3 linked regions of the Drosophila melanogaster genome follow. The protein of the gene in region 2 interacts with the protein of the main gene of each other region in a biochemical or structural test. Each region holds a gene or a part of one and is shown on either strand. Other genes may lie near its edges. The genes, in order: EcR, ari-1 and koi.

Evidence for each region.
Region 1: of the proteins of ari-1 (region 2) and EcR, one has a biochemical effect on the other in vitro, tested with the Drosophila melanogaster proteins (one study listed by BioGRID).
Region 3: of the proteins of ari-1 (region 2) and koi, one has a biochemical effect on the other in vitro, tested with the Drosophila melanogaster proteins (one study listed by BioGRID).

What each region holds. Positions count from the first base shown.
Region 1 is NT_033778.4:6,128,832-6,133,914, forward strand, and holds the start of EcR (ecdysone receptor), read right to left. Parts: upstream 3,011-5,083; 5' UTR 2,287-3,010; coding exon of another isoform or gene 2,235-2,286; intron 1-2,234. UniProt on the Drosophila melanogaster protein: Receptor for ecdysone. Binds to ecdysone response elements (ECRES) following ecdysone-binding, and recruitment of a complex containing the histone methyltransferase trr, leads to activate transcription of target genes.
Region 2 is NC_004354.4:18,131,678-18,139,347, forward strand, and holds the start of ari-1 (ariadne 1), read right to left. Parts: upstream 6,009-7,670; 5' UTR 5,899-6,008; exon of another isoform or gene 5,688-5,898; intron 5,463-5,687; exon of another isoform or gene 5,374-5,462; 5' UTR 4,984-5,373; coding exon 4,765-4,983; intron 3,663-4,764; coding exon 3,510-3,662; intron 3,449-3,509; coding exon 3,392-3,448; intron 2,684-3,391; coding exon 2,034-2,683; intron 1,695-2,033; coding exon 1,571-1,694; intron 1,510-1,570; coding exon 1,283-1,509; intron 1,201-1,282; coding exon 1,119-1,200; 3' UTR 1-1,118. Other genes in the region: CG43229 (uncharacterized protein), read left to right, coding at 6,954-7,202. UniProt on the Drosophila melanogaster protein: Atypical E3 ubiquitin-protein ligase, which catalyzes ubiquitination of target proteins together with ubiquitin-conjugating enzyme E2 Ubc10.
Region 3 is NT_033778.4:6,809,170-6,817,129, reverse strand, and holds the start of koi (klaroid), read right to left. Parts: upstream 6,112-7,960; 5' UTR 5,955-6,111; intron 5,343-5,954; exon of another isoform or gene 5,229-5,342; 5' UTR 5,202-5,228; coding exon 5,047-5,201; intron 4,599-5,046; exon of another isoform or gene 4,436-4,598; intron 4,350-4,435; coding exon 4,014-4,349; intron 3,958-4,013; coding exon 3,377-3,957; intron 3,094-3,376; coding exon of another isoform or gene 2,816-3,093; exon of another isoform or gene 2,318-2,815; intron 2,071-2,317; coding exon 571-2,070; intron 514-570; coding exon 401-513; intron 338-400; coding exon 125-337; 3' UTR 1-124. Other genes in the region: ubl (ubiquitin like), read left to right, coding at 6,693-6,731, 6,791-6,929, 6,995-7,038; CG15237 (uncharacterized protein), read left to right, coding at 7,432-7,560, 7,619-7,706, 7,774-7,913. UniProt on the Drosophila melanogaster protein: Component of the LINC (LInker of Nucleoskeleton and Cytoskeleton) complex involved in the connection between the nuclear lamina and the cytoskeleton. Is required to nuclear migration in eye and to anchor klar in the nuclear membrane.

The sequences.
Region 1 (5,083 bases), on a different chromosome or scaffold from region 2:
ATTGTCTGCGAAAGTGTTGGCAGCTCGACTTTGTTGCTGGTCTGTGAAAGTCCACAAGAGCGTCGGGGAGAAGGCACAACTCATTCCAAGCTCGATTGCTTTATGGCAGGCTACTCTTAACCGCACATACACAAATTAGGTCCATCCAGACCGAACGGGAAGGAAAACCAGCTAGAAAAGGCTGACAAGATAAGGCACTCAATGCAATTGATACAAGAGCACATACAATGGCACCTGTTTGCCATTTCTGCCATTCCCGTTCCCCATTTCCATCCAGGGGATGAAGAACGGAGTGGTGTTCTGTCTCGTGACCCACTGGTCTGCACCCATTAGTATCGTCGCCCCCAGACGCGGTTACATTGAACCTTTTTAAAGGGGGGTTGTGTGTGACACTTTGGAAACAGTTGTGATATAAAATAAGGTATTTCGATTATCCAGGGTCATTTTAATTCGTGCGGATTTGGTAGTCATAATTGTTGTTATGTCTGTGGTAGGACTTTCAGAACACTAAGCAGATCTTTTGATCGTTTCCATTTGCTTGTATAATTTCTTCATGTCAAAGTCATTTAGCTAAGAACCCCAAACTATTGTAAAAATGCATAGAGGGTTCGACATAAAAGCACTGGTAACTCGGTTTTCTCAGCCTGGGCGAAGCCACAACACTGAATCCCATGTATAGACATACATGTGTCTATATATTTGCATAAAATCGCATTAAAATTTGCCATTTGGCCACTTTAATGTCCCATAAAACATAAACAACAGCAGCGAAGACGAAGTTGTCGACGCCATAGGATATAAGTTACTTTTTTTGTGCTCTTTGTTTGTGTCCAGAAAGTGTAGCAAAGAAGAAATAGCGAAAAACTTAATGTGCAAAAAGCAGTTGGAAAAGAGAATCTTTAGTCGAGTGCTTCGACTAAAAGATACCCGCTAGCACGTTTAAAACTAAATCTACAATTCTGAATTATGTGCATCCTGTAGAGGAATTTCATTTAAAAACCCAGCTTAGGGCTTTTGAGCTTATTCGAATTTCTAGGAGCTTTAGATTGGACTTGGCCGAGACTAAAAATAAACTTGCACAGCTCAGTCATCGTTAGAACTTAAATGCTGTGTGAGTAAAGGGTATCAAAAAACAGAGCCATGAAGTCGAAAGTTTAACCAGACCCGCCCAGGAAACGAAGGCCAACGGGTGGCGGTAAGTCTGTGTCGTCGGGGGGATGGAACAAATTAATTGTGGGAGAGTCAAACTAATGTTGGGGACTTTACTGGAACCTAAGCGCAAACCTAATGCTGTTACCTAATGCCTCATTAGGCGCTTTAAAATAGGGAAGCCCAAGCGCACAAGAGGACTCGCCTTATAATGTATAATAATATATCGCAGTACCTATTAAACAATATACCAAAAATAAGATAAATAAATACTACACATTTATTGTAGAATTGAACATTTAACAATTGAAGTCATTGGATCCAAAAAGTGAAGTCTCTTCAGACGAACAGCATTTACATGTTCCACAATTTTACCTTCTCCAACACGATTCAAGTGCCCAATCTGTATCGAATCATTTTTGAGCGTTCTTTCGGCACTTAATAAATCGAATACGTTTTACACCGAATTAAACCTTATCAACAGAATATATGTGAAAATCAGAGTAAATCTGTTGGCTGAATTCACTGAATGCCCACTTGAATTTATGGAAATACATGCCAATTACGCAGTCGAGTGCTTTCCTAGACCGACATGCACATATTCGTCTACACCGGGGATCTATGGTGGCCCGAAAGAGGCTTGATTATGTTTACGCAGGCGAAATACACAATTTTCAACGTTCTGTCTTGACCGTCTGTCAGTTGTCATGACCATAATTAATGTATTGCCAATCGAACCCCCATCCCAAGCATGTGTATCTTTTTGGGACATCATAATGTCTGTATGTACAGCATGTATTCAGCTATGCGAACATATGATCTGTGTATCTTGGCATTGAAAAGATCTAATGGTAATGTAGTTTTCATTTCGGCTGGATGAATAAGAAATGGAAATTGATTTTGCGCACGCGAAGTGACAAGTGCGCCAAGACAAACACATTAGGGCCTGAACAAATCGAAAATAGTTTTCGGCTCCGAACAGCGAACTTGTTGCCTAACTCAGATCTTTCGTTAAGCAGTTGACCACAAAATGTTGTTATGGAAAAGCGCTTGGTTCTATTGGATTCCAAGGTGCCCACACTCACCATATGCGTCGATATAGTGCGCCAGTTCTGCTACTAATCCACAAGTATCCATGGGCCCACTGCGTATTTGAACAAAAGGTATTCCAGTTGACAAAGCACTATTTGGAATGTTGAGTAAAATCTTTTCACTACCTTTATATATATGTAAGGGGATCGGGATCCACGGCACAAATCCCTCACTCACTCGCGCACTATCTTCGATATATGTACATATGTAATATTGTGGATGCGGAAAAAGTCTCCGGCTCCTGGCAAAGCGGAGCTAGCGTTCCACAGACCACGACTAGACGGGCGTCTTATGTCTGTGTGTCACGTTGCTGATGTTTGATTTCGAGTTCTGGCTTCGTTGTTTCCTATTTACATTTCGATACCGCTGTATTCCCTCAGCCGCAGTTTGCACTATGCAGCCGCCATATAATATCTGTACAAATATGAATATATGCTCTCGATTTGCGTTATTTTAAGAACTATTTCCTTTTGCTTCTTCACCACTTATGTATGTATTTTTACTATTGTTTGAGTTTCAGCTACAATGCATTTGCACTTTATATTAATTTTTGCCGATGAATTGCACTTGTGTTTGTTGCGGTTGTTGGGGGAACTGGTATTATTTGGGATTTGTCTAACAATTTTTCATAAATATATGTAGGTGTATATGTGATTTAAACATTATTTGGTTACAACATTTTGGGGGTTTTCGGTTTTGAAATGTAAGGTGCTTTGGGAAACCGTACTGTTAGGTTGTCGTTTTCAATTGTGTGTGCTGTATTTTGTATCTTGTTTTTTGACGAACGCGATCGGGCTTCGTACGTGCGAGCGAACAACCGTTAACAACAAAGTCCAAAAAAATACTAAATCAATGAGCGAGACGAGCAGAATGTTAAACGCTCAAACTCACCACACTGGCACGCACACCAAAGTAAACTCACCAGACACGCACACCATGGCGCTAAAAGAGCGAGAGTTAAAAGCGGAATCGGCGCTAAAGATAAATGTGAAACGCAGGCAGCACTCACTCACACAGCCACAGACACACACTCTGAGCAAGCGGCTTGAATGAAAATGCCGATGCAATTGCAATCGTGGAATACTCTTTGTCCGCTCTCCGGCACGTATCTGTGAGTTGTGTGCGAGCGTATATGGCCGTGTATGCGTGAGTATGAGTGCCATCATCGCTTTCATTTCTTGCTGCTTTATTTTCGGTTTTCTACATTTATTTATTGTTTTTTTTTTTCGTTCGTTTTCGTTCATCGCTACTTTCGGGTGCACAAGTGCAAATTCACACGTATGTACGTACATTTGAAATATTCTCGCATAGTGGGACGAAAGGGTCCATAATAAATCGGAAGGAGTGCCACAACTTGCAATAATTAAAAGTAGGATAAGTTGAAATATTTAGCTTAAATTACAGTCTCTCTACTTCACCTTTTCGATACATTCCAAGTTTTATTTTCAATAATCTCTAACATCAATTGCATTTTTCAGTGTCCCTTTAAACTTTATTATTTGAATACATATATGTAGCAAATATCTCAACAAGAAAACAATGAAAACGTTTCATGTGGCCAAAAATACTTTCTCACGTCAGCTGAATGAATAATAAATAAGATCGAGTTAGAAAACCATAGAGAGTCCTCCGAAGGACTGTTTTCCATTCGTTGGAAGGGAAATCCACCTGAAGTCAGTAGACACCGCTGTTTGAAGCAGAATATTGACACTACGAGACGTAATTGACGGAAAGGAAAAAGATCACCAGGAGGGTAAACAGAACGCAGATCAAACTAACAGCCACAACAGTATCTATGAGTATGTACGTATGTATACATACACATACACGTATCACCGCCGTCTGCTGGGCGACGTATAAATTGCACGTTTCGAATACATTGTGGTTAAAAAGTCAGCGCAAAGCGAGCTGAGATACTCAGATACAGATACGCACACATCGCTGCAGATAATTGTTTGCCCATCCCTTCCCCCCACCACCAGCCCCATCATTCGAATCGCTACGTATTTACTTAACGTCGCTGTGTGCGTTGAGTTGACGCTGGGCAAGTTCAAGTGTAGAATGCAATAGAGAATTGCATTTGCCAGAGCGAGAGAGACGACCTCGCTCTCTACGCATACGCATAGAAAAGCCGGCAAAATGCAAGGGCAAGGTGGTGCGGGACTGTGGGGGTGGTCGTACTGACGGTGACAGTGGTTAGCATGTGGTGAGTTTCGCTCTGTTTGGGGTTGGCTAGACACATTGAACCACAAAAGTTCAAGATGAAAACACAAAATATCAACAATGACAGCTGAGTAGTGGGGACGGCAGCGGCTTGGTGTCGGGGGCGTGAAAGAGACTTTGCCTCTCTCTATCTCTTCCTATGTTTCTCTACTTCTATTTGTTTGGGTATACCAATACAAACACAGCTGCAACCCATAACTGCGTCTATGATGATTTTCTTCTCTTTCGTCCTTCCCCACATTCTCCACTCCTCCACACGTCTCGTTCCCCTCTCCTCCACTATCCTTTTCCCTCTTGGCCGACTGCCAAACGACTCTCAGTTCAGTAGTACACTGGAGCAATTGCTTAGAGTATGGGTGCAACATGTATCTGTGCTTTCCTATATGTATCTGTGTAGCTGCATGCGAGCGTGAGAGAGTTTGTCTAGCTTTGAGGGTGTGAGTGGGTGAGAAGGGGAGGGGGAGGGGGAGCGATCGAAGTCATGTGCATGCCTTTTGTTGGGGTAGTTCGCCGGCAAATAAATGAAATAGAAGAGAGCCGAATGCCATGTAGTGGAAACTTGCTTGAGTAGACGATACCGTTCGCAGGAAGAAGAAGAGGTATGACGTTGAATTCCTTG
Region 2 (7,670 bases):
ATTTCTAATCTATTTTCAAATAATAATAACGTTAAGGCAATGCAAAACAAGAATTTTTAGCATGGTGCCAATTGATCAAAAATAATAAAGATTTAAAGTCTAAGAAGGGGGTCAAATTTACAATGCATAAGCATACGTGTGCACACATACAATTGTCTGCTATCACTGTATACGTAGAAAAGAGCTATTTGCTGTAGCGCTCTCCACTCTCTCGCTCTCTCTCAAAAATTCGAGAGAGCCTGGAGCCACCTTCTAGATCCATTGCCAAAAAAATGTGTGCTAAAAAATCGCGTTGCGTTACGCATCTTGTTATTCTATTGTCTTTGGTCGAAGGAAGTTGGGCAGGTGGAAAGGAAGCTGGGCGAGTGTTTCTGCTTACATGTGTAGTTTGTTTATTTCACATAAGTTTAGGTTCTATTGTTGGCTTCTCATCATGCGTGTAGCTTTGAATTCACTAATTTTTGCATTTTGTTTCGTTTTTCATTAGGTTTTTATAACATGAAGATTTCTTTGCAATCGGTTAACATCAAATAAGTTTTTAACTGTTGATTATTTACTATATATCTATTCTGCTTCTGAGCCTTGTGACTGGTTCTGTGTGTGTGTGTGTGTGTGTGTGGGAGTGTGTGAGTATGTGTTTGGTAGTGTCTATTTGATCCTGTCCTTCTTCGTGTCCTGCTGCTGCTCTTGCTTAGTACGAAGAAAAATATATATAATTCAATATATATATTTATATATATTACGATTTTATGGTGATTTCCTTCTGGCTTCTGTGTTCTGAAATGGCTTCAATTTTGCTTTGCAACTCTTGTATGGGGATTTATCCTGCGTTTCTGGGAATTTCGAGTCTCCTTTCTCTTGCGTTTCTGTGTAGCTTCTGCATTATCCTTAACTTCTGTTCAACTCCTTCGGCTTCGATTTCTGCGTGAGTGCGTGCGTGCGTGAGTGTGTGTGTGTGTGTGTGTGTGTGTGTTGCGTGGCTTGGCGGATGTTGGTCGGTATGTGGATGGGGACAGTGTTTGCTGCATTTCGGATGCTGGATGGGGTGGCGCTTAGCGGGCACTACATTCCGATTGCCTGCCGCTCGGCTTAGCTTAGTTATCCAGCCATGACTCGCGTCATTCTGTGTACTCCCACCACTCCTTGTCGTACCCCTCGTGCACGTGCTTCAGCAGAACAGAGCACCGCTTTTCACAATACCTAATCGAATGGAGAGACCAATCAATGTTTGGATAATGAGTCGTTTGTATGTTGGGGACACGGACATGGCTCGCTCGCTCACCTGTATTTATCTTGCACTTTCTGCTTAATATCAGCCAAATTCTCGGATGTAATATCACGTTCCAAATACTCCGACAACATCTCGGTTGCCGACTCCAAGTCCTTTTGATTATCCTCGAATATCATGGATTGATTGTTCTTTTTCAAGTAATATGCAAACACGTACGTGTACATGAGAGTCTGACGGCACTGGCAAAGTATGTCGACAGCCTTTTTCAGAAACTGCACCTGCAATTGCAATGAGTGTGCTGAATTCGCATTGTTATGGTCACGAGTTTTCACCACTTACCTCAATCCATGACATGTTGTGCTGTTGCATCTCCTCCATCTTTTGCTTCACAGATGCATACAATTTGTTCTCAAACTTCATCGACTGCATGTGGTTCATGTAGCGATTGTAGTAGTGGAGATATCTGTAGATTTGGCAGAAGATAATATATCAGTTGAGTTTTATTCCATAATGACTTTCACATTTCTGCCTAGATACTTTCGTGTTTCCTTGATTAGTTTTAGCATTTCTAATTCTACAGGTTTAATCAGCGATAAAATTTAATTACGAATTATAGCTGATTCATTCCTTTCTACGGCTTTCAATCGTTATCTTTTCTTAAAAGAAATTAGCAGATAAAATAAACCGCTAACCGTCATTATCAGCGAACTGCGAAAATAATACACAACAAGTATCACTTAAAAAAAAAAAAAAACAAAAGGGGTTCCTATCCTGTGACATCGTTCACAGTCGAATGACCCACCTGGCCAGCGAGGAGCGCAGCTTCTCCTGAGCATCGCGGGCCGTCTTGGCCTCGTCCTCGTCATAGCGATTGCAGTTGTACCAGGAGGAGCCGTGCGGCTCCCAAGAACCGAGGCACACCCAGCAGAACTCGTTTTTGCAGTTCTGGTTCTTGCACACCATGTGGTTGCAGCCGCCGTCCTTCTCGATGGTCACGCTGCACCTGGGACACTCTTTGGTATTGGCCGCGATCCAGTTGGACGTCTCCGAGTCGTCGTCACACTTCTTGATCCACTTCTTTAGCCAACGGCACTTGACCGGATCGTGCCAGTTCTCGCCGCAGGCAAAGCAGAAGACATGGCCGCATTTGCAATGGACGCGACGTGGCTCCGCGTACGGCACCTTCACCGCATAGGTGCAGTCGACGGACGGACACCAGCGCAGCAGCTGGTTGCACTCCACAAAGCTATTGGTGATCAGCTGCTGGTACTTGACCCGCACCCGTGCGTCCGTCACTAGGTTGGCGACGGTCACGTCGTCCACCAGGATATCACAGCCGTGCGCCGCGCACGAAATGGTCTGGCCCAGACCCTCCGCCACGATCTTCGTTGACAGATACTCGTGCCAACAGGGCATGCAGAATCGGTGTCCGCATTCCAGCCCGGCCATGGACTAAATGGAACGAAGAGAAAGTAGCTATTAGTATACATTGTAGATATTCTTGAAGTTGTTGCTTGTGGAGCAAAAGAGTATACAATATTATAAATATATTATAATCGTATTCTATAATATATACTTAAAGATCACGCGAACTATGAGAGCTTAATGATGAAGCATACAGCAAATTAAAACCACCTACATAGCGTATGGTAATTTTAAACTTTTCATAGGTGTTTTACGCTCTGAGTATTTGTTAGTTAGCTTGTCTATAATATATTTAAGTTTACTTTGCTGTTATAACCCAAAGTTGCCCATTGCAATCTACTCTTTTAAAACGTGATACTAAATTTTACTTTTTAAACTACATTATTAAATGTTTGATTCCACAAGACAGTTGGATTCCAGCGAATTACTGCTGAACTGCTTACATAACCAAATTCAGGCTAACAATCAACAATTGTAAATCAAGCAAGTAAATTAGTGATAACGTAAGCCAATAAAAATAATTGATAAAATACAAATCAAGTCTTTTTAGAATATTTTAGATTTGTATAGCAAAGCAACGCCCTAACATTATTATCAGGTCATCAGATAAGGCACCATTGACCAGTTAAAAAATCATGTTTCCCCCCAAAATATTCGTGGTTAATCAGCGGGAAAATATATTCTACACCGCAATTAGGTCACGGAGTTACTCATCCCTTCTCCATGACAACTTACATCTGGCGGGAGCTGTGAAAAGCATATTTCGCACTCTTCGCACTGACTGCGTGAGGTCTGAAAATGAAGGGAAACGCATTAGATGAGACATCAAATGGAGCCTTAGCACTGGGCTCACCTTTTGTTTGATCGCTTCGGTGGCGTTGAAAGGATTTATGACATGTGCGCATTTGAAGAACTCATCAGTGTTGTCGTCGAAGTACTTCTCCAATAGCTTCTCCTTGTCCCACTTGAAGTGATTTAGCAGTATCCGTGTGGTGGGTGTGGGTAGCTGTGGCCATAGACAACAAAACAAATCGAATGTCAGTGGATGATGGCACATATGTACATATATGGGGTAAAAGAGCGGGGGCTGCATCCCAGTTGGCATCGAAATCAATGCCAAATCATTTGCGATCAGCAGCAGTATGATCAGCAGTACCTATGTATAATCGTGGATGGGGTTGTGATGTGGAACCACTATAACTACCACTGGCAATTGGTCTATCTAAACAGTATAATTTTTAGGATATATAACATTTCTTGGCATTCCTAATAACTAATCGATTTGTTTGGAAATCGAGAAAAAGTACGTATGTATGTACAATTCAATTTTAGAGGGAAGAGTTACTCAAAGGTGCTTTGTTTAACTAACAATTAGATAGCTACATACATGATCTGTATCAATACTGAAAGTTAACACTCAAGCTAAGTGAATTTCGCTTATTATTGCAATGAAAGATTTTCTGATGTTTAAATGTCAATGAAACAAAAAAGTATTACATGGATTCTACATTGATCCTAATGTATTCATTTGAAATGGAATCTATAATACCATTTTAAGGGAATCCCCCGAAATCTGGGAAAGTGAAAACTGTGCTAGTGAACTTCGGGCAAGTCAGCTGCTGATGCGGATATGGGATGCGGATCTGGCGACCTTGGGTGCGCCTGGGTGCTTGTGTTCCGATTTCACTGGCACTGGCAGTCATCAGCGGACGACCTTCAGCTTATCCCAGATCCCAGGCAGGGCGGTGGGCGGCAAGAGCGAGGGGTGGGGAAAGCGATTCACGGATACACATGCCCAAATGCACTGTGCTGCACACAGTGATGCCTCCGAGCGGCGAACAGATCAGATATTCTTGGCAGCTATACGCCACTAAACTATGTCAAGCCATTTGGCTTTCACTGCAAATCGCAGCGCTAACGAAAGTCGAAACAAACATGTTCCTGCTAGGAAGGCCTGACTGTAGAGCAATCAAAGGTGACTGCTTGCCTATCTTTGTTGTCTGGACTGGGTGAAGAATGTACCTCTATGGCTGCCCTAGGACTGATAGTTAAGTTGCGGATGGATAGTTATACTAGCGGGTGTTCACTGTACTTGCGCTTGGCCATACCTTCAGCAGCAGATTGGCTTCGTCGATGATCTCGCGCTGGTGTTGCACAATCTCATCGGTGGTGAGCACCTTGTACTGGTAGTCATCTTGGTCCATCTGGCGGTCCGCGGAGCTTGGCAGGTCCACCTCCATGCCAAAGTCATCATCGCCGTCGTCGCCCGAGGAGACGTTGCCCGAATCGACATTATCGCAGAAATCATTGTCATTGTCCGAGTCCATTTTTCGGTTTCTGTTTTGCGTTACTGCTTCTGCTTCAGCTGCTGGTGCTCCTTCTGCTCTCTTCCTCTTCCTGTTCCTCTTGCGCCTCCCGCACCACTTCCGTTCCTCTTTGTTTTCAGCTTTCGAGGCTTTGTTTTCCAGCGTTTACTTCCAGTATTTTACTTTTGCATTTGCATTTGCGTTTGTTTCTGTCTTTTCGTTTTCCTTTGCCTCGTTTTCCACTTGCTTTTGTTTACGTTTTTGCGCAGCCCTTTTCGCCAGTTGTTATTATTGCTGCCCTCGCAGTGGCGTGGCCAGTTGTGTTTGGTCGCTGCACTTGGTGCACAGCTTCTATTCCCTTTTTCACACTAACTTATTTTGTGCGCTGCTAATTTGTAGGCTGCGTGCTGGCTATTTTTATTTGTAAATGAAAAATGAATATGTGAGATTTTCTAATGACAATACGAGACCCTGCACGGTCGCAGCGCAGTCATACTGGTTCGGTATTTTTAAGAAGAACGGTCACACTGGCCCGTGCGCTTAACAGGGCCGAACTGCTGATTTAACAGCGAACAACACTATGTTAAATGTGTGCATGTGTGTGTAAAATCATGTAAAATCGACCGAACGTCGATGGGACAAACAAAAAAAAACAACGAAATTATGTACACAAATGCATTTTTCTTTAGGGCAGATTATTTTGTTTTCAAGGTAATGGCACACACCAGCACACTGCGCACACACATGCGCACATTACGTGTGTATTGCCACACACACGTACACAAAGGCACAGTCGAAAAGCTTATGACTTTTTGTTGTTTTTCTATGCACTTTTCCAAAGAAAAAACACTAGCTTATTGCACTAATCGTGCTCGCCTTCGTCGCGAAGTTCGGTTGCAATGCACAAATTAAATGGAATTTTCACGAAAAACTAACCGTAAAGCCAACAAAATGATTTGCATCGGTGTTGGTTCTCACTTGCTCTCTTTGCTTTTCTCAAAAAATAACACACACACACACGCGCTCGCACAGTGGAGTCAAGTGTGCGTGAAAGTGTGTGCGCATGTTTGCGCTTTTTTCCCATTTACTTTCGTTCCGATTGCCGCCTGTTTCATACCGTTCCGTTAAATCGTATGTTTAACAACATCTGCTTATCGATGGGTGCCAAAAAAGCAATAGTGACTTATCGACGGCTGGGAAACAGTAGATTCAAAAACAAGTGAGCTTCCAATGAACGTTTTCTTGATTCTCAGTGTATTCATCAAAAGAGATTATCTTAAAAATGAGACATGCGCTTAATTTACAGAAACAGTTTTTGAGAAAATCCCTTTACAGAACAAGACTTGAAGGGATCCATTCAAAGGCACGAACCACAGTGTCAAATTCCAATCCGAGACATAAACCTGTTTGAAATAAATATTGTTATTTAAACATTATTAATTATTCTTGGAATTAAAGGGTATACTAGATTCGTTGAAAAGCGCTTCCGACTTCATAAAGTACACATATTCTTGATCAGGATAACTAGGCGTCTTGATCTATTATTGAGATCTTTTATTCGACTGTCAAGATATTATACTCAAACGTTTTCTCATGTTTTTAACTGCAACCTCCGGTTGTTTGCGGTTAGAGTTTAATCTTTAAAGTGGCGAACAATATAAAATTGCTAAAACTTCGCACGAGCTAAAAATATATTTGAATAAAATTATTTTAAACTTTACTGTCCCAATTTTCATTGTTTCACAAGTACCGTTAATCAAATTCAATGGTAAATTGCCACTCTGTTGTAACATCGATGTATCGATGCCATATCGATACCTTATCGATACTGTATCGGTTGATACAGAGTTGCACTGGCAATGGGCGCCTTATTCGATTTCACTTAAAGTTTTTTATTGTATATTGTGTTTTTATTGCAACACCTGACAACTGTTGTTGTGTATAAGGTATGTATATAAAGAGCCAGCTGGCTTAATCAGAATGCGGTCATAATGCAAATTCGTTGGATGGCAGTTCGATTTCTTCTTCTTCTAATGGTGGCAGCCATACGGGCCGACCTGGGCGGATCCGGAAGTTGTGGGCCCTACGAGTGCCGTCTGAGCAACCCGATCTGCCGATGCGAGTCCTTCTGCCAGGAGTTCAGTCAGCGGTGCTGGAAAAACCCATCGGGATGCCATTGTGCGAGAGGATATGCCCGTAACGAACGAGGACACTGTGTGCCTCTTATTTTGTGCCCCTGATATAGGATTCACCATCAAAACAAATATCTAAACGAATATCACCTTAAAATTCATATGTAAACTAAAAACCGATTGCATGGAAATAATCAGCATGCAAAATAAATACAGCAGACACATTTTTAATGAGAAAAAAATGGTTATAAAATTGATTGGGCGTTTGCCTCATTACACAGAAGTAAATATTTTAATGTTTTCAATAATTTTCTATTGGTTTAATATTAGGCATTTGTAGAAATTATAAAACCAATAAATAAAAACTACAAAATTACATGACGGCAGTTACTAAATAGCATTTTTAACATGAACCAAAATGTATACCATTTTTGCATATAATGAAAATGACAATTTGATTGTAATTCAATCAATTGAGTTAAATTTACCGAATGCACTGAGCGCATGAATGGCTGCATTGTTTTTTTTTTTCGCCACAAAAAAGCAGCTGAAAAATGCACCGCTCCATTGGGAGTA
Region 3 (7,960 bases), on a different chromosome or scaffold from region 2:
TTGAAAGCGGCTGGGCTCCGTTGATCCACATCTCGCAGTGATATATTGTTTAGTTTCCTTTTTAAGGCACAGACATTATGTACACCTGGCAGTACTTAGGTCACTAGAAGAGATTTGAACAGATTTATGTGGCCGGCGGCTTGCCGTGCACGCGAAACCGGTAGAGGCATGTATAGGTGGGATGGCCATGGTTCGTCTCGATCCGCAGTTCGACGATCTCGTACGGCCGTTTGATGTCCAGGTTTTGAACGGCAAAGTACTGGAGGGAAGCACCATTGTCCTCAAACTGGTAATCGCCGAACAATACGGGTTCCTGGTCCTTCTCCTGCTCCAAGCCCTGAGTTGATGGATAAGTCGTATTAGAAATGCACCACTTCCTTTCACCCTTAGTCAAACTTACCCAGACAGTGAAGTTGCGAGGAGCTGATTCTATTCTTCCTGTGGGGGATAGACTCTTCGGTATGTGCTCTAGGGTGAATCCAGTGACGTACACCAACGAGTTGAGCTTTAGCACTGTGGGAAGAAAACTATAAGGACTGTTTTAGCAATTACTATTTACCCGCGACTTGCCTAGAAATCCGGGAAACCCTTGGAATGCCCAGCATTCCCCTGGCTGCACATTGGGTGAAATGGCGACCCGCGGCGTGTTGGTGGGATACCAGAGTGGAATTCCAAACACCGATATCTGGGCTGACTTTGTCTGGTAGCTCTCAGTGCAACGCGTGGAAAGGATTTGGCCGCCCGCCGACTCCAGGGCGAAGTCCACCAGGCCCGTCTTGTCGGCATCGTAAATAGCTAGCACCGTCTTGACTATCTGGCGCACCTCCTCTTCGCGGATATGGCCCTTCAACGCTTTGGTGCTCTCGTTATGCTTGGCCTCCACAACCAGAAGAATCTCCCGTTTGAGTCGTTGGCTAATGTCGCTCATCAGCAGGATGCTCGAACGCTCAATCTCGTCGCGAATGTTGTTATTGGTGCGCTTGTTCAGCTCTAGCAGCTGCTGCTCCAGGTAGTCCTTGGCCACAAACATGCTGCGTACCCAGGTCTGCAGATCGAAGTCATCCAATTGGCCAGCGGAACCGCCAGCGGTGGATTGCTTAAAGCCCAGAATTTCGACAAGGGATAGCTTGATCTGCTTGTTGAGAAGAGCAAACTGCGAGTCGTTAAGCGCAGACAGTTTGTTTTCTATTTCAGCCAGCAACCCGTGGAAGCGCCTATCCTGGGAAAGTTCGTGCTGCTGTATGCGTTCCAGCAAATCCTCTTGGCCGAGCTTCAGATTGCTGATTGATTGGTGCAGATCGGCGTTCTCCGCTTGCTTGTCAGAGAGAGCCAACTTAATGAAGGCGATTTCCCTGTTCAGACGCTCAATTTGGACTTCTGCATCTGAGGAACCGGAACTCTCCTTTGGCTCGAGCTCTCCCACCCGAAGACTTATTCGAGCATCTACAAAGTCTGCCAATGCTGGCGCAGCAAGAATACGCTCCAGCAGGGATGCAAAGTCTATCCTGTCCAATTGAATGGTGTAGTGCGATTCGTGGAGGTGAACCTCTGCTTTAATTAGCTTGGTTATCTCCTCTAAGTTAGCTTGTGATAGTTTCGCTCCATCTTGCCAACCGCCTGAGCTTTGCAGCTCCAGTTTCAGTTTTATGGCCAGATCAGACAAATCCTTTTCGCTTAGCTCCGTTTTGTACATAATCTGCTTGAGGTTTTCCTTCATCAGCTTAACAAAGAGTTCAATCTGTTGCGGTGCGAGCTCCTTGGAATGCTGCTGCATTTTCAGCTCGACCAACTGCTGCACGTAGCTGTTTACATGGTTTAAGATATTTTCGTATTCCTCGGCAGTCAAGGCTTTCTGGATGTTCTGTTCAATGCTGGCCATGTTTACCTTAATGGCCTCGGCTTCCCGCTGGGGACTCCTGACGGTGGGCACTTCCATCCAACTTTTCAAGGTGGCTCCAGCATTTGAAAATCGACTACGTAGGGAGCCGAAAATAGATAGTGGCAGCGGCAACAGTGCTTCCGCACGCTGAACGTAAGCACTACGTTGATCCTCCTGCAAGAGCAACCATCCTGGGGAAGGAGAAAATTAAACATAGCACTATTAGTTGGCAATCCTTCTACATTTACAGTCCCTACCAACTTCAATTATCAACCGGACTGAGGTAACAGGGAACTCGTTTTTGGGGTTATTCCAACACAAATGCAGAAGGATAGAGTTCGATTCTGGCCAACTAATATTGCTTTGTTTACATCTTACTTACCATTTAGCGAACTTCCAACAAATGGCAAATAAAACAAACAACTCTTCTTTGTACTTGATGTTTCATATGAAATTGTTTGCGATTTATTTTTGTATAGACTATTACAAAGCAAACAGTGCACAAATTACAATTAAACGTTGTTTAACAACAAGTAAGATTTAGTTAGGGCACTAACCCAGACGGATAACGGCCCTAATTGTTGGACAAGAATGAAGTTAACGATTACGAAAGTTTTACAATTTGAACAGCGGCGAGCTCTATCCTTCTCCCATCAGCCTGTGATGTTGCATTTTGTTGGGAATTGTGTCGGTTAGTATGGTGGGGTATGAGAGGTGGGTTTGCCTATGAAGTGGGTAAATGACGGGACGAAAAACTATAAAGTAAGTGCGCAAAACTGCGGGTCAAGCAGACGGACAAAAAACGGATCAAATGCTTTATTTTGTACTCATATTGTTCATAAAGAAAGTTTCTCATATTTGTCTAAGTGCAAGGGGCGTTGCACCCAACCAGATCACTAAATCTGGTAGCTGTAGCCTGCCCATTGCAGATGTTCCCTACACACGCTCATAATAGACTTTATCATCGCCCTGAAATAACTGACGACCCTTGTTGACCACGTTCTGACCGATGGTTCTCAAGTACAAAACGTAGTCGTCGGCCCAATCGCGAACGCGGACCGCATGCTCGGCGGCCTGAGAGCGTAGCGATTCGAACTGCTCCTGGTTCAGGTAGTCTTTCACATCGATTTTGGGCAACTCAGGTAGGGTGAATGTGTATTCGGACAGGGATTTGGGTGGGAAAGTTTCATTGGGGTGTATGTAATAGAACAGACCTGCAAAGGCAAAGCAAATTAGGCGTTTAACCTTGGCAGACGGTGAATGGAAAATAAAATATGTCATCACATGGCCACTTAAATCTGATCCGCGGGATTTTACTAACAAATTATCGATGGCGTCACGCGACTGCCAACGACCAGACGAGTTTATAAATACAACGACTGGAGGTGATCTATATGCATGTAGTATGAATTCTCGAACCGGTACAAGGTCACGGCACACGCTCTAACATATTTTACTTTACATCAAAAATCGGACGGTGCTTTAAATCCTACTCACCCGACAGCAGCAGCAAGGGCAACAAAATCAGCAGAAATATGAGGAAGCGCTTTTTCGACTTGTTTTCCGCATCCGAGGATCGCAGCAACCACGTGTCCAAACTCAGCACCGATCCGATGAAAACATACAGGTAGCGCAGCAAACTTGCAAGTCCTCCTCCGATGGTCTGTACTATTTTCCACCAAAGTCCAACTTGTTGACTCTGCTGGCGCTTAGCGTGGTAGTTTTGATAGGCAGTCGTCTCCGTGGCCGAGAGATTGGTCACCCGACTCCACACGGTGGTAATGCTGCTAACAACCAGTTGGATGAGGCGGATAAGCCACCAGCTCTGCTTTTGCTGCCCAAATGTGGCGTCCAGTTCATCTGCGGAGTCATAGTTAACCTGCTGGGTATACTTGGACTGGTAGCGGCGGCGGATGAACTCCTCTTGCGCAGGGTTCTGCTGGACCATGTAGTTGACTCGATCGTTATGGTTCTCTAGGCTCTTTCTGGACATATTGGGCATGGCCACAATTCCTGGCGCCAACTGGCGTCGGTGAGGGGACAGTTCTGAGTAGGTATAGTCCGTCTTGGGAGTTTTGCTGCAAAATAGCATCATTAGTATACTGTTTAAAATGTGTAGAAATGATTCACTCACTTCCAGTATTCACCAGCATCCCTGTACTCGATGTAGGCCAGATAATCGCTGACATTTCCCGAGCTGAGGTTACCGTTCGATTGGTTTAGCTTTTCCTGGGCGGAATTCAGCGTGTTTTGTGTGGTCTCCAGCTGGCTTCTGTTCCGCGGTGTCGATGTGGCGCCGCCGGATCGCTTGGTGAGAATCGACGTGACTGTGGCCGTGATCGAGTTCTGTTTGCGTTTGGCATCCGGAGTCATGTCGTCGCTCGAATAGTCCGAGGTCAGCTGGGCGAACGCTTTTGCCCGGGTTTTCTTACTGATACTCGACTCCACTATATGCTCCTCTATTATCGTTCTGCAGAGAAGAGGTAAGATTTGGGAAAAATATTTCAGTAAGTCCGTGATAACGTGCTCGGAATCGTTTGAAACGACGAGTACAACGTATCAAAACAAAAACACAAAAATATGCTTATAACCGCCGCTGGCCTTCAGCGCAAACGACTGTTAGCCCACCCCAGCATGCTCGATTTAGAGGCTAAAACGTGAAAACGATTTCTGACGGCCGACGTTGGACTCCGAATGTCGTCATCGAGTCTTGAAGACTGATCATCAGACCGACCAGGCGCTCTCGAAATAGGCGCCAAAAACTAACGAAGCTCGACCAGATGCTGCACCCTGTATGCGGCTTTGCCTTCGTTTTCTACCCGCTTCGAAATTCAAATTCGCGGCGAGCGTGAATAACAAAAAGGTGACGTCATGGCGGCAGCACACGGCATACAAACATACAGTCGCTATGGATGTGTCTTACTACAGTCCAACTTGCTTACTGAAACCAATGGTCAGTATAGAAAAAGGTGACTCAGGACCAAATAGGAAATAATTATAGAGTTTAAACTGAATTCTCCTAATTCTCAAAATGAAATTGACTCGAACTCCGTAAACATATTGTATGCTTACAATTTTACTACTTATAAGGGCTAAAAATAATGTTATGGGTTCGCGATAAAGGGCTTCGTCCGTAGGCCTATTTCGGGAGTATCCCAGATACTTACTGCACATTGGGGGCCGCCGATTTCCTTTTGAGGTGGTGCACATGCCCCTCCTCTCCGGCGTGCTCACAGTTCTCATGGTCGCAGCTCGATCTCAGGAAGGGGGTCTTGGAACGCGACCGCCGACGCGTTTCTATCTGGTATGTATTTTCGCTCATGATTAGATTCCCTCCAGTGCTCGGGCCCTGCGAAGACACAAATAATTAACATGGGCAACGATTTATTTGGAGTAAACATTAAAACCAGTCTGTGTGTGTGTGCGTGTGCGTGTGTGTGCGTGCTAGGCGTGGGTTGTTTACAATTGGGCAGCTGGAAAACATTCGGTCTCTTCACTTCAATGCTCGAGTGCTTTCCGAAGCGAGCTTTCCCCGCCACATTAATGCCGCATTATGCAATGCAATGCGTGTGGAAATGAGCGCAGTGCCCGGTTTTTAATTAGAATGCATTGGGGAGGTAGGTAAGTAGGCAGGCCGCAAAGACCGCGTCTAAAAATAGGGCGGAGCATTTCGGATCGCGAATTGCTGCCAGTGACCGTGGGGATCCATTGGTGTTGGGCCACATAGCCGAAAACGACGCCCGCCCGGCCTTTCGCGCACAGATATCGGACTCCAGGGAGCGGGGTAGGGATGTAGACGCTACAGGGTGCTCCGGCGGACCACGCCATCCACAAACAACGCGCGATAATCAATACAATGGCTTACTGCCCAAAATGAGTTCGCAGCACAGGCGCAAATATTCGTTGATTCCGTGATTCGGTGAAATGGAAACCCAAACAAGTTTTCCACAGCTGCGTCATAGCGTACATATATGTACATATGTATGTACGTGAATGTAAAAATGAGGCACGCACGCACACAAACAAAAACTCCGCACAGTGCTTTCGGCAGTTTGCCCGCAAATATGTGACATACTTAGTAATATTTCTTGTACTGCCGTACTAATGAATTCCTCCGTTGAATAGCTGGATATGAATTTTGTTTGCAAGCGCCGCGACCGTTTTAAAAATAGCCTCCACCGTCACGACGGCAAAATCACGTCTATTCCGAGCGGCGAAAAAATTCGAATGAACGGGGAAGACACATCGATTATTCTAGCAATCATCGATGTTTCGCCGCCTATCGATTGTTCACATGGATTATTAAAGGGAACGTTGAGAAACGGAATTTGTTTTCATTAACCAAGAGAAATAATGGGTCAAGAATAAAAAATTTAATTTTTACACTTTTATCTTTTGTTCAACAAAGAAAAATAATTTGAATGAGGTGTGCAAATATGCAAACATACATTATTTTTCTATTAACGCCGAAACATTCGACTTCTGGCTTGATAACTAAGAAGAAGACTGAAATTTAAATATAAATTTGTTAACAAATATTATCGTTTTACAAGGATGTGATAGATTTGCGTCATGACAAGCAATTGAGCTTTCTAAGTATACTTTCAGACTTCTGATATCTTTAACTTCGACTTTCTATATGATTGTTATTTAAACATATTTAAAATTAAATAAAATATCGATAGCATTGCGGACAATTAGCGATCCCTCAAACCACTCGGTATTCGGTAAAGGGTATTTGACAACCCTAAGCAATAATACCACAACAAATCAAGAATTTATTGTTGTGATTTGTCTAGCAAAGCCATAAAATATGATAGAAATAACGTGTAACGATCGTCTTGGCAAGAAGGTAAGCAGCTAAGTACCCAAGGCAACTGCAAGCATCGTTAACCAACGATTAACCCACAGGTGCGCGTCAAGTGCAACCCGGACGACACGATTGGGGACCTCAAGAAACTAATCGCGGCACAAACGGGCACAAAGCACGAGAAGATTGTCCTGAAGAAGTGGTACACAATCTTCAAGGACCCGATTCGCCTATCTGACTGTAAGCCCTTGTTTAGTGTCCTTGTAACGCCTTGCTTTACCCGCATTTCTTTTTCGCTTTCTTAGATGAAATTCACGATGGCATGAATCTGGAACTTTACTACCAATAAAACTGCAAGGGAATACCGTTCCTGTGTCTAGTTTGTCCAATTTTTATAGCTTCTTTAATAAATAAAAAGATTTTGAATAATATATATTATTCGTTTTGGTTATGTTCTGATTCTTAAGGTCAATTTGTAATAGTGAAGATATATATTTTTGAGTAAGCTGTATTAAGCCCTTGGTTATCGGACTTCCCTTGACAATAACAAAATACATAGTTAGATTGATGAATTACAATTACAATTAATATTGTAATTTGCGTTTAATGCGCCCCTACGACTACGCCCCTGTAAAATTGGTATTATTTACAGCGTATGTTGCGGCGTTGCCAGATCGCATCAAAGGCTTCCAGAGAAAGAACAACAAATATTGAAAACAGCGCATTCAAGATTCCGTCGAAAATGTCAATGATTCCATTCTTTCCCACGCTCAAAGTCTCCGTGGCCAATCGCTACTGGTTGGACATGGCTCCTGCCTCCGTAAACGAAGAATCGCAGACGCGGCGTTATGAGGATGAAAGGAGCAACTGGGTGAGTTCTCTCCAGACACCGCTTTCTGTATAAATTGTTATAAACTTAAACCGTACAGCGAGAGTCCCTTAAGACGGCCGGCACAGATCTGCAGCCGCTGGGCAAAATGCTCACCATACCCGGAATTGAGACCGACGACGAGGATGGTGAGTACGGCAGGACACTGCATTCGGATTACCATTATCGTTTTTACGTCCAATTGCCCTTGTGCAGCCAACGACGACAGCGAGGACACGGACAGTCACGATGAGGAGGATGACGAGACCAACGACCGCGTCATCCCGGTAACCCAGGACTTTTACTCCGCCGACGACATTCAGATGAACGACGAGACCTCACCCACAGCCCCCTAAATGAATGGGAGTGCCCTGATTGCCCATCACAATGTCGCCCGGCTGGT